Stegostoma tigrinum: one gene and its partners. The protein of the gene in region 1 interacts with the protein of each later gene in a pairwise test. Links are inferred from orthologs where the notes say so. Each region holds a gene or a part of one and is shown in the gene's direction. Other genes may lie near its edges.

Region 1 (3,855 bases):
GCGAGCAGCTTGACGTTTTGGGTTAAGACCCTGCTTCAGAAATGGGGGAGGGGAAGGGGATTCTGAAAAATAGGGGGAGGTAGATAGAAGATGGATAAAGGAGAAGATCGGGTGAGAGGAGACAGACAGGTCAAAGAGGCAGGGTGAGAGCAAGTGAAGGTGAATGTAGGTTTGGGGGGGGAGGGGGTGGAAATAGGGCTGTCCAGGGAGGATGGACAGGTCATGGGGGTGGAATGAGGGGATTGAGGTGGGAGGAAGGATAGGTTAGAAAGGCGAGGACTAGTTGGGCTGGTTTTGGGATGTGGTTGGGGAGGGGAGATTTTGAAGCTTGTGAAGTCTACATCAATACCCTCAGGCTGCAGGGTCCCCGAGTGGAATATGAGATGCTGTTTTTGTACAGTCACGAGGTTCATTTTGTAACCATTCTCTACGAAGGACGGATTAGAAAACTTCTAAGTGATTCTTGTGGAGTTTACAGAACAGGTCTAAATGAGCAGCCTTAGCTTGAGCAGCATTGGATATGGGAATCCTTGTGTGTAATTTTTTTTTGTAAGAACCGTGCCCTCTTACTATTCTAAAGTTTCATGATCTTCAATGCTCAAATTGTAGTGTTAGTTCACTCTGCTTCTAGAGGGAAGGAAAGAAAATCATGCAAACAACAGCGCTGCACGTGCTGTGGGCCTGTTGACCTATAATGGTGACTACCTGTGTACATGAACACGGTCGCCATCACTGTTGCTAAGAGAATATCTGTGGCTGGATTTCTTGCAGAGACTGTCCTGTACCCACTGCACTTCATGTGGGTTGACTCATACCTGATGGTTTGTATCTTAACCTTTTATAGGAAGCAGAGAGAGATAAGGTATAGATTGGTAGAAGCCTTCCAACTATTCAGATGTTTTGGAAAACTAAACCCCAGTTGCCTTGACTCCTATTCATATAAAATCAGGCCGCCTCTACCTAGCCTTAGGAGTGGGAAATTATTGTAGCCTCTTCAGGAATTTAGGTGCAGGGACTAGTTTGGGCTAGGGGAAGGGGGCGGGGTCTCCTCAGCGGTGGGCGGGCAAGGGGCGTGGCTCCTTGTCCTGTAGGCGGGGTTCGGTCGGCGGTGGGCGTTTCCTGTCCAGGGGACATTCGATCACCGTGAGCAGTGCCACGGCCGGCCAATCAGGCGTGTGGGTACGGCCGGAATTGGTCCAATCAGCAATGCCGCCTGCAGTATCACGTGTGGAGATGCACCATTAGGGTGGGAGCAACCGCGCATGCGCAATAAACGGGCGTCGAGAAGGATCGAGTGGCGATGGCGAGTGGGGACGGAGACAATAAAAGCACCAACCTCCTGGTGAGGGAACTCCACAGCACCACTGTCCCCGCGATGGGGTGGGGGAAACAACATAACTATACCCCGTTATGGGGGCGGGGTGGGGGGTGGCGCGGCCAGACTTCTCCAACACACGTACACCCAGTAGCGCGGGAGAGATGGGCTGGGCTGGGTATGGTGACCGGGGGCTGAGGAGGGGTGGGGTGTGTTGGGGGTATTTGGGATGGGGAGTGTTGGGGGTATTTGGGGTGAGGAGTGGTGGGGGAGGGAGTTGGGGGTATTTGGGGTGAGGAGTGGTGGGGGAGGGAGTTGGGGGTATTTGGGGTGAGGAGTGGTGGGGGAGGGAGTTGGGGGTATTTGGGGTGAGGAGTGGTGGGGGAGAGGGTTGGGGGTATTTGGGGTGAGGAGTGGTGGGGGAGAGGGTTGGGGGTATTTGGGGTGAGGAGTGGTGGGGGAGAGGGTTGGGGGTATTTGGGGTGAGGAGTGGTGGGGGAGAGGGTTGGGGGTATTTGGGGTGAGGAGTGGTGGGGGAGAGGGTTGGGGGTATTTGGGGTGAGGAGTGGTGGGGGAGGGGGTTGGGGGTATTTGGGGTGAGGAGGTTGGGGGTATTTGGGGTGGGGAGTGGTGGGGGAGGGGGTTGGGGGTATTTGGGGAGGGGGTTGGGGGTATTTGGGGTGGGGGAGGGGGATGGGGGTATTTGGGGTGGGGAGTGGTGGGGGAGGGGGTTGGGGGTATTTGGGGTGGGGAGTGGTGGGGGAGGGAGTTGGGGGTATTTGGGGTGAGGAGTGGTGTGGGAGAGGGTTGGGGGTATTTGGGGTGAGGAGTGGTGGGGGAGAGGGTTGGGGGTATTTGGGGTGAGGAGTGGTGGGGGAGAGGGTTGGGGGTATTTGGGGTGAGGAGTGGTGGGGGAGAGGGTTGGGGGTATTTGGGGTGAGGAGTGGTGGGGGAGAGGGTTGGGGGTATTTGGGGTGAGGAGTGGTGGGGGAGAGGGTTGGGGGTATTTGGGGTGAGGAGTGGTGGGGGAGAGGGTTGGGGGTATTTGGGGTGAGGAGTGGTGGGGGAGGGGGTTGGGGGTATTTGGGGTGAGGGGGTTGGGGGTATTTGGGGTGGGGAGTGGTGGGGGAGGGGGTTGGGGGTATTTGGGGTGGGGGAGGGGGTTGGGGGTATTTGGGAGGGGGATGGGAGTATTTGGGGTGGGGAGTGGTGGGGGAGGGGTATTTGGGGTGGGGAGTGGTGGGGGAGGGGGGGTGGGGGTATTTGGGGTGGGGAGTGGTGGGGGAGGGGGGTGGGGAGTGGTGGGGGAGGGGGGTGGGGAGTGGTGGGGGAGGGGGGTGGGGAGTGGTGGGGGAGGGGGGTTGGGGGTATTTGGGGTGGGGAGTGGTGGGGGAGGGGGGTGGGGAGGGGGTTGGGGGTATTTGGGGTGGGGAGTGGTGGGGGAGGGGGGTGGGGAGGGGGTTGGGGGTATTTGGGGTGGGGAGTGGTGGGGGAGGGGGGTGGGGAGGGGGTTGGGGGTATTTAGGGTGGGGAGTGGTGGGGGTTGGGGGTATTTGGGGTAGGGAGTGGTGGGGGAGGGGGTTGGGGGTATTTGGGGTAGGGAGGGGGTTGGGGGTATTTGGGGTGGGGAGGGGGTTGGGGAGGGGGTTGGGGGTATTTGGGGTGGGGAGTGGTGGGGGAGGGGGTTGGGGGTATTTGGGGTGGGGAGTGGTGGGGGGAGGGGGGTGGGGAGTGGTGGGGGAGGGGGGTGGGGAGTGGTGTGGGAGGGGGGGTGGGGAGTGGTGGGGGAGGGGGTTGGGGGTATTTGGGGTGGGGAGTGGTGGGGGAGGGGGTTGGGGGTATTTGGGGTGGGGAGTGGTGGGGGAGGGGGTTGGGGGTATTTGGGGTGGGGAGTGGTGGGGGAGGGGGTTGGGGGTATTTGGGGTGAGGAGTGGTGGGGGAGGGGGTTGGGGGTATTTGGGGTGGGGAGTGGTGGGGGAAGGGGTTGGGGGTATTCCAGGGGAGGGGTTTGTTAGTACTTGGGGTGTGGAGGGCGTGGGGTGGTGGTGGCCAGAGTTTCGGAATTGTATTTGGGACCATGCTTTGTGCAGGGGCCAGTAATGCGGCGATAATGGCTGTTTTCTTTCTGACTTAGAAGAATTGAAAATGCTGTCATTGTATCACATCATTCACAATGTCTTCATGTCACAAAACCTCTCATAGCTTGTTTGACGTGTCACCTCTTGTCTTAATAAAAAGTTACATTCATCTTGAGCAGGTTTTGTCACCCTGTCAACTCAATTGATTGGTTTATCCCTCTCTCTCTCTCGTTTTCGGTCTTGAGCCACAACCTGAGTCTAGGTCAACTCCTCTATCTAGTATGTAGTTTTCCACCTCTGCAATTTGACCTTTTCTGGCTTTCATTTAAGTTTTTGTGAGCTGAAGCCCTCATTCATGTTTGTGGTACATAAAACTCCCAGTGAAACTCACCAGTTCCATCCTGCAGAAATCTGCACTCATCCAAACCCTACAACCTGATTCCTGGCATGTACTAAATTCAA
Region 2 (3,855 bases), on another chromosome or scaffold:
ATTGATGTCGACGTAATTACTTCCCTTTTCGTTAAACAGTAACTGGATTGTGGTTCGTTTATGTTGTTTTGCATGAAAATGCATAATACACATTAAGTAACTAACAGTCATCGTTTAAACTAATTGGGAAATTTGATATTTCATGAGAAGTCGGCAGAAAGAAAAGAGATAACAAAGTGTAGAGCTGGATGAACACAGCAGGCCAAGCAGCAGCAGAGGAGCAGGAAAGCTGACGTTTCGAGCCTAGACCCTTCTTCCCCAGCACCTACAGTTCCTACTATCTCAGAAAGAAAACAAGTTTTATTCTTACTGTTTCTGAAAAAGACTGTCAACTGTGCAACGAACTGCGTCATCAAACAATGGCACGTTGAAGAACCGAAATCTGCATTTCAGAAGCAAATACTTAAAATCTGTACAGCCATGCTGTACCGCTTTAAGTATTTGGCTTTGCCTGAGTAAAGGGCGGAAGTAGTAGCAGCGCTGGGCTGAGAAGTTGGTCATTGTCACGTGACTGGGATGATCCAGTCTAGGCACGAAATCGAAAGGAGCTTGGGCTGGCTTTAGTCAGTGGCTTGGTGCAGTGGAAAGGGTCCAAGACAACTCAGGGTCTTGGTGCAGTGGGCAGGTGAGTGAAGGACGGCTGCTGGGAGTGGGCTGGCTGAAATTGACAGCCGAACGTTGATGTGATGTGTTTGTAACGATTTCACGCCAGGGGCGCAAGTTGCAACATGCGTTCCTTTTTAACTGGACAGTCATTTAGAGTCATTCAGCGTAGAAACAGACTCTTTAATCTAACTGACGCGCAATGTTCGTTTAGTATCTCCCCCATCACCTGAGGATAACCCCGCCAACAATTGGGGGAGGGGGAATGAATCTGAAACGTGAATATTAGCTTTATAACTTGTCAGTTTTAAATCTGTGCCATTCCGACTGATCACCGAGATTGCTAAATATTACTCTCGCTATTCGACAAACCAGAAAGAAATCTGTTCCTAAACTAAATTGGTCCCACTTGCCTGCGTTTGGCGTACATGCTTCCAAATCTTTCCTATTCATGTACTTTTCCAAATGAGAGACCTCGTGGAGAAAGGTTAGTTATTACCAGTTAGAGTTGTAGTTTTTGACAAGTCTGCTTTCTTTCCCCTTTTTAAACAATATCCGCACTGTCAAACCGAGTGCATCCTTATTTTCATTTTCCTTTCGTCTGTGGCCCTTGGCCTTTTCCTTTCCGTTTGCTAGAATGCTGGCAGCTGAAATTTGTGTATTGATTTTTAAGTGACGGTACCAAGACGCATACTAAACGACTAAGGAAAACAGAAATACTGGAAATACTCGGTCTGTCGGGATTTCCAATGGACAAGTGTTGATATTGTTAGGCTCATCAGGTTCCTGCCTTTTGAATTTACCGTTTCCTCAAATAAAAAACACCGAAGTAAATGTAGAAGTTGACTGGAAGTGCCAAGGTCCAATATCACTTCTTTGTGATTTCGGACACAGTATTGAGACAAAACCATTATGAGGAGGATGTGAGTCATGCCAAGAGTGAGGTATCCTGTGTAAGCAAAGACAACTTTTTGATCGTTTTTCATACTTGGCGATCTCAGTGATCAATCATAGTGGCACAGATTTAGACCTAGATGATTGGAGAGTGGCAAATGTTATTCCCTTGTTCAATGAAGGGAATAGGGATAACCCTGGGAATTGCCGACCAGTCAGTCTGTCTTCTGTGGTGGGCAAATTACTGGAGAGGGCTCTGAGAAACAGTATTTATGATTATTTGGAAAAGCACAGTTTGATTAGAAATAGTCAGCATGGCTTTGTGAGGGGCAGGTCATGCCTATATGGATTTTAGGTATATGGTATATGGATTTTAGGAAGGCATTTGATAAGGTTCCCAATGGTGAGCTCATTCAGAAAGTAACGAGGCAAGGATTCAGGAAAATCTAGCTATATGGATACAGAATTGGCTGTCCAATAGAAGACAGGGTGGTAGTAGATGGAAAATATTCAGCATGGACCACAGTGACCAGTGCTCTTCCACAGGGATCTGTTCTGGGACTCTGCTCTTTGTGATCTTTATAAATGACTTGGATGAGGAAGTGGAAGGGTGGGTTAGTAACAAAAAAAAGTTGCTGGAAAAGCTCAGCAGGTCTGGCAGCATCTGTGAAGAAAAAAAAGAGTTAATGTTTCAGGTCTGGTAACCTTTCCTCAGTAAGTTTGCCTATGACACAAGTTTTGGTGGAATTGTGAATAGTGTGGAGGGCTGTTGTAGGTTGCAGCAGGATATTGACAGGATGCAGAGCTGGACAAAGAAGTTACAGATGGAATTCAACCCAGAAAAGTGTGAAGTGATTTATTTTGGAAGGTCAAATTTGAATGCAGAATACAAGGTTAATGCAGGATTCTTGGCAGTGTGAAGGAACAAAGGGATCTTGGGGTCCACGTCTGTGGATCTCTCAAAGTTGCTTGCCAAGTTGATATGGTTGTTAAGAAAGCATATGTGTTTTGGCTTTCAGTGGCAGGGGATTTGACTTTAAGAACTGCGAGGTTATGCTGTAGCTCTATAAAACCCTGGTTAGACCACACTTGGAATGTTGCGTTCAGTTCTGGTTGCCTCATCATAGGAAGGATGTAAAAGCTTTAGAGAGGGTGCAGAGGAGATTTACCACGATGCTGCCTGGACTGGAGGGCAGGTCTTATGAGGAAAGGTTGAGGGAGCTAGAGCTTTTCTCATTGGAGCGAAGAAGGAGGAGATGTGACTTGATAGAGGTGTACAAGATGATGAGAGGCATAGATTGAGTGGATGGCTAGAGACTTTTTCCCAGGGCAGAAATGGCTATCATGAGGGGGCATAATTTTAAAGTGATTGGAGCAAGGTGTAGGGGAGATGTCAGAAGTAGGTTCTTTACACAGAGAGTAGTGAAGTCAGATACATTACGGACATTTAAGCAACTCTTGGATAGGCACATGGATGATATTAAAATGAAGAGTATGCACGGTAGCTTGATCTTAGAGTAGGATAATAGGTCAGTACAACATTGTGGACCCAAGGGCCTGTACTGTGCTGTGCTGGTCTACGTATAAAACACACAGGCTGTGACACTGCCGTACTTGTTAAATTCCCATTTCATATTATTCACCACGCCCTTAAAGGGCCGGTGAGGTTATCTCTTCTGTGCAGTTCCAATGACACACAAACATCGTTGTACTAATCGATGAATCCAGAAAGTTGTCAACATCAACAACTTGTGTTTGTCTTGTCATTTATTGTACTCTAACTCTCTGAGGCATTGCATAAGAATGTTACTGACTAGAATTGGATAATGAATTGCATGAGGAAATATGGAAATCTTGACACGGGGAAGTCCATTGCCTAGAGCTTTAATGACGTATGGTATGTGTCCCCATAAATGCCATGTGATGGAGTGATTAACATCAGGGATGCTCAAGAAGCTGATATTGTCACTTGGAAGTTTGTTCGGTTGATGAGGATTACAAAGATTGGAAAAGCAAGGCCATGGAGAAAATTGGAAATAAGGAAGACAATTTTAAGATCGTGTTGCTTAACCAGAGAGCCAGTTTAGGTCAGTGGGGTCCAAGGCAATGGACAAATGGTGTAAATTACATGATATTGTTTATATTTGGAGGAGCTGAAGTTTGGGGGTGGAACGTGAGAGATTGACTATTCCTGTGCACTCCTGATCAAAATGTTACAGAGGTAAGAAAGGCATAATTAAAGGTAAAAGCAAATATTGCTGTTACTGGAGATTTGAAATAAAAAGAGAAAGTTCTGGAGAGACCCAGCAGGTTTCTGTCAGCATCAGTGTCAGCAAATGAAAGAGAAACAATTTACAA
Region 3 (3,855 bases), on another chromosome or scaffold:
GTTAAGACTGCTTCCCTCCACAAACATTGCTGGCTGCCCTTGGGTTGGTCTGGCAATTTTTTTTTCTTAGTTTTGATTTGCAGCACCCACTTTTGTGTGGCTAAGACTGAGCAAGTGCTGCTGTGTCAGAGGTGCCATCTTTGATGTTGTAAAGACCGTGTTGCATTCGGCCTTCACAAGCAGGTGGGAAAGATACCAAGGCCAGTGGCTGATCCTGGCATCTTGGGCTCAATATGTACCCATCAATTGTCATCACTTCCAAAGTAATGCAATTGGATGTGGAAGGAGCTACAAAAACGGAAGGTGGCTTATGGGTTAGCACTGCTGCCTCACAGGGCTGGGAACCTGGGTGCAATTCCATCCTCGGGTGACTGTACAAACTCCACATACAAATCCTTCCCGTGTACAGGCTAGGTGGATTGGCCAATGCAAAATTGGCCCATAGTGTTCAGGGATGTGCAGGCTAGGTGGGTTAACCATGGAAGATGGTGGGGTTAGGGTTGGGGTTTGGGTTACTGAGGCGTGCTGTTGGTAGGGTCAGTGTGGATTCGATGGGCTGAATGCCGTACATTGATTCTGTGGGAAAAAGTGGGAAGTGGGCTGAGCAGCTGAATTGGAGGTCACCTTGTGTCTTTATGGGGATGAAGCTGGGCAAACATGTTATTGGGAAGTTATTGCGAGTGAAGGAGCTGAGTGTAGTCTAAGGTGGTTATATAGAACAGTGCAATTGGCATTGACCCTGACAGCTGTGGGAGGGGCCTGCTGTGCGCCTGCACCCACACGGCAGTGGGCGTGTTCAATTCTGCGCCTGCGCACTAACGGCGGAGGGTTCCTCCCGGTGCTGTGGCTGCGCCCCAGTGGTGATGGGCGGGGCCGGTGGAGCGCCTGCGCTCTGGTCTGCACTCAGGATGTCATGGAGGAGGGGAAAGGCGGACGAAGTCCGGTACCGAGTGACGGAGCCGCGGCAGCACCCACACGGCTACACCGAGTACCGGGTCACCGTCACGGTAAGGGGAGACTGCAACCTACCAGCGGGGAAGTAAGGAGAGCCTACATGACCCCTTACCTGGGACCCCTGACACTGCACCCAACCCCAACCCCTTACCTCAACACCTCATCCCTCCCTCACCTTCCTAACCAAAGTGACTCCTCAGCCTGACCCTCAGCGCTGAGGGAGTGGGCACTGTCGGAGGGTCAGTGCTGAGGGAGTGGGCACTGTCGGAGGGTCAGTGCTGAGGGAGCGCCGCACTGTCGGAGGGTCAGTGCTGAGGGAGCGCCGCACTGTCGGAGGGTCAGTGCTGAGGGAGCGCCGCACTGTCGGAGGGTCAGTGCTGAGGGAGCGGGCACTGTCGGAAGGTCAGTGCTGAGGGAGTGGGCACTGTCGGAGGGTCAGTGCTGAGGGAGCGCCGCACTGTCGGAGGGTCAGTGTTGAGGGAGCGGGCACTGTCGGAGGGTCAGTGCTGAGGGAGCAGGCACTGTCGGAGGGTCAGTGCTGAGGGAGCGGGCACTGTCGGAGGGTCAGTGCTGAGGGAGCGGGCACTTTCAGAGGGTCAGTGCTGAGGGAGCGGGCACTTTCGGAGGGTCAGTGCTGAGGGAGTGGGCACTGTCGGAGGGTCAGTGCTGAGGGAGTGGGCACTGTCGGAGGGTCAGTGCTGAGGGAGTGGGCACTTTCGGAGGGTCAGTGCTGAGGGAGTGGGCACTGTCGGAGGGTCAGTGCTGAGGGAGTGGGCACTTTCAGAGGGTCAGTGCTGAGGGAGTGGGCACTGTCGGAGGGTCAGTGCTGAGGGAGAGGGCACTTTCAGAGGGTCAGTGCTGAGGGAGCGGACAGTGTCGGAGGGTCAGTGCTGAGAGAGCGGACAGTGTCGGAGGGTCAGTGCTGAGGGAGTGCCACACTGTCGGAGGGTCAGCGCCGAGGGAGCGGGCGCTGTCGGAGGGTCAGCGCCGAGGGAGCGGGCGCTGTCGGACGGTCAGCGCCGAGGGAGCGCCGTGCTGTCGGTGGGTTGGGCGCCGCGCTGTCGGTGGGGTCAGCGCCGAGGGGACGCCGTGCTGTTGAAGTGCCAGTTCTCAAATGAGATAAATGATTGATTTTTTGTCACATACATCTCGGGAGACACTGAAACATTTTATGTCGTCACACTCTGGCACGATTGTTAAGAATAAAAAGGACGTAATTAGATCGAGTTCACCTTCATTGGCCAGGGTCCGAAACACTGCTCCAGGACTTCTGTACAGTCCCTGATCTGGGTCTCCCACGGCCTGGAGTCTCTACGCTCGTCACCAGTTGCAGCCTCAGTTGATGACCTGCTGCTGCGGAAGGAGTCTGCGTTCCAGGCCTACAGCAGCCAGGCGCCTTCGTTCTCCCATTGTTGATGCCCTGCCAATTCCAGGTGTCCGGGCATTGGGCCCTATGAGCCAGGAGTCACCCCCCCACGCTGTTGTAGCCTTCTCGTGGTGTTGGGAAGGTGAAGAAAAGACAAAAAAGAGAGGGAGAAGAAGAATGCCGCTCAACTGGAGCGGATAGGCTGTTCCCGAGCGTTGCTGTCTGTGCCAGCACTGCCCTTGTGATGTGTAATGATCGAAGATGTTTAACAGCTCGTGGAAGGATGTGAATAATCGTTTGGCTGTGATTGAAGGAGAGCAGGATCGGACGGGATTGCGAAGAATTCTCTGCAGTGTCCAGAGTCCGATACTTATCCCATAATGAACATCACTGAAAAACACGTGGCCTGGTGACTTCTGTGACACCATTTGGGGGAGCTTGCTGTGGGCTACTCGGCTGCTGCATTTTCTCCATTCCAGTGGCATCCATCCTGTCATGAAAGTCAGCATTGACAAGGAAGTGCTGTTTTGGAATGTGGTGGCACAGTGACAGGCAATACAGAAGTGCACCTCTTTGCTTTTGTTCCCAGAGCCTTGAGGATAGTGTGTATTGGGGGGTGGGTGTGGTGGGGGGGGTGGAGCTCGATAGAGCTCTCGGTCCATCGGAAGTCCCTAATGCAGAGGTGTGCTGACTGACGGACAGGAACCTTTAATAGCAGCGTGAAGTGGGATGTTTGGCAGGGGACTGTGATTCCTCACAGCTAGTGGGTTGGTTATCTGCATTTGGGGATGCCTCAGCAAGTGTGTTTACTCCTACACTACACCTCTGTGACCTGTACTGTTTGTTCTTTCTACACCCACTCCCAACTACAGATCTTTTCCAAGAAGACTGCAGACGTCAAAGAGGTAAGTGCAGGTGTGAGGATTCAAGTCTGGCTGTGTACAGGCGGAGGAGGTGTGGGTTGTAGAAGTTGGGGGCAAGGCATGTTCAGCTCCTCAGGCTCTGGTCTCTTGTCACCAAGCCACATCCCTCAACCTACCTGTTGCTCGCAATCCGCCAATCTGGGTCCAAACCCAGATCCTGCCCACCCCCCCAACCACCCCATTCGACTTGAGGGAGAAGATGTCACATCTCCTCAGAAGGGCTTAGCTGTCGTTTTTAAAGTTCTGATCCTGACGCAACCTCGTCCTGGCTTTCCCTCACCTCAACTCCCATTTTATTCTGTTCCCGCCCCACCCCAACCACTAGACAATATAATTTCTCTCTGTCAGCCCCTTTGAACATCTCAAACCCTCGATTGAATTCCTCCACCCATCTGCCCAATGTAATTGCAAAGTGCTGGAACTAGCCAGAGAGGGAAGTGTTTTAATGAGTCAAACCTTTTGGTTTGATTTATTGTTGCCATGTGCACCTAAGTACAGTGAAAAGTTCTGTTTTGCCTGCAGTACGTGCACCTCATACCATACAAGGACGCACAGATCATAGAGTGATTCAACAGAGTGAGGAGTACAGAGTTACTGCTGCACAGGAGGTAT

Evidence for each region.
Region 2: the proteins of arl6ip1 (region 1) and snx10b interact in binary tests that used the Homo sapiens proteins (3 or more experiments, as listed by UniProt). The two-hybrid records come from large-scale screens. The link is inferred for Stegostoma tigrinum from reciprocal best matches to the Homo sapiens genes ARL6IP1 and SNX10.
Region 3: the proteins of arl6ip1 (region 1) and snx15 interact in binary tests that used the Homo sapiens proteins (3 or more experiments, as listed by UniProt). The two-hybrid records come from large-scale screens. The link is inferred for Stegostoma tigrinum from reciprocal best matches to the Homo sapiens genes ARL6IP1 and SNX15.

What each region holds. Positions count from the first base shown.
Region 1 is NC_081376.1:54,011,256-54,015,110, reverse strand, and holds the start of arl6ip1 (ADP-ribosylation factor-like protein 6-interacting protein 1), read left to right. Parts: upstream 1-1,232; 5' UTR 1,233-1,300; coding exon 1,301-1,342; intron 1,343-3,855. UniProt on the Homo sapiens protein: Positively regulates SLC1A1/EAAC1-mediated glutamate transport by increasing its affinity for glutamate in a PKC activity-dependent manner.
Region 2 is NC_081355.1:56,549,325-56,553,179, forward strand, and holds the start of snx10b (sorting nexin-10B), read left to right. Parts: upstream 1-973; 5' UTR 974-1,031; coding exon 1,032-1,090; intron 1,091-3,356; exon of another isoform or gene 3,357-3,394; intron 3,395-3,855. UniProt on the Homo sapiens protein: Probable phosphoinositide-binding protein involved in protein sorting and membrane trafficking in endosomes. Plays a role in cilium biogenesis through regulation of the transport and the localization of proteins to the cilium.
Region 3 is NC_081395.1:12,627,395-12,631,249, reverse strand, and holds the start of snx15 (sorting nexin-15), read left to right. Parts: upstream 1-901; 5' UTR 902-908; coding exon 909-1,007; intron 1,008-3,192; coding exon 3,193-3,225; intron 3,226-3,855. UniProt on the Homo sapiens protein: May be involved in several stages of intracellular trafficking. Overexpression of SNX15 disrupts the normal trafficking of proteins from the plasma membrane to recycling endosomes or the TGN.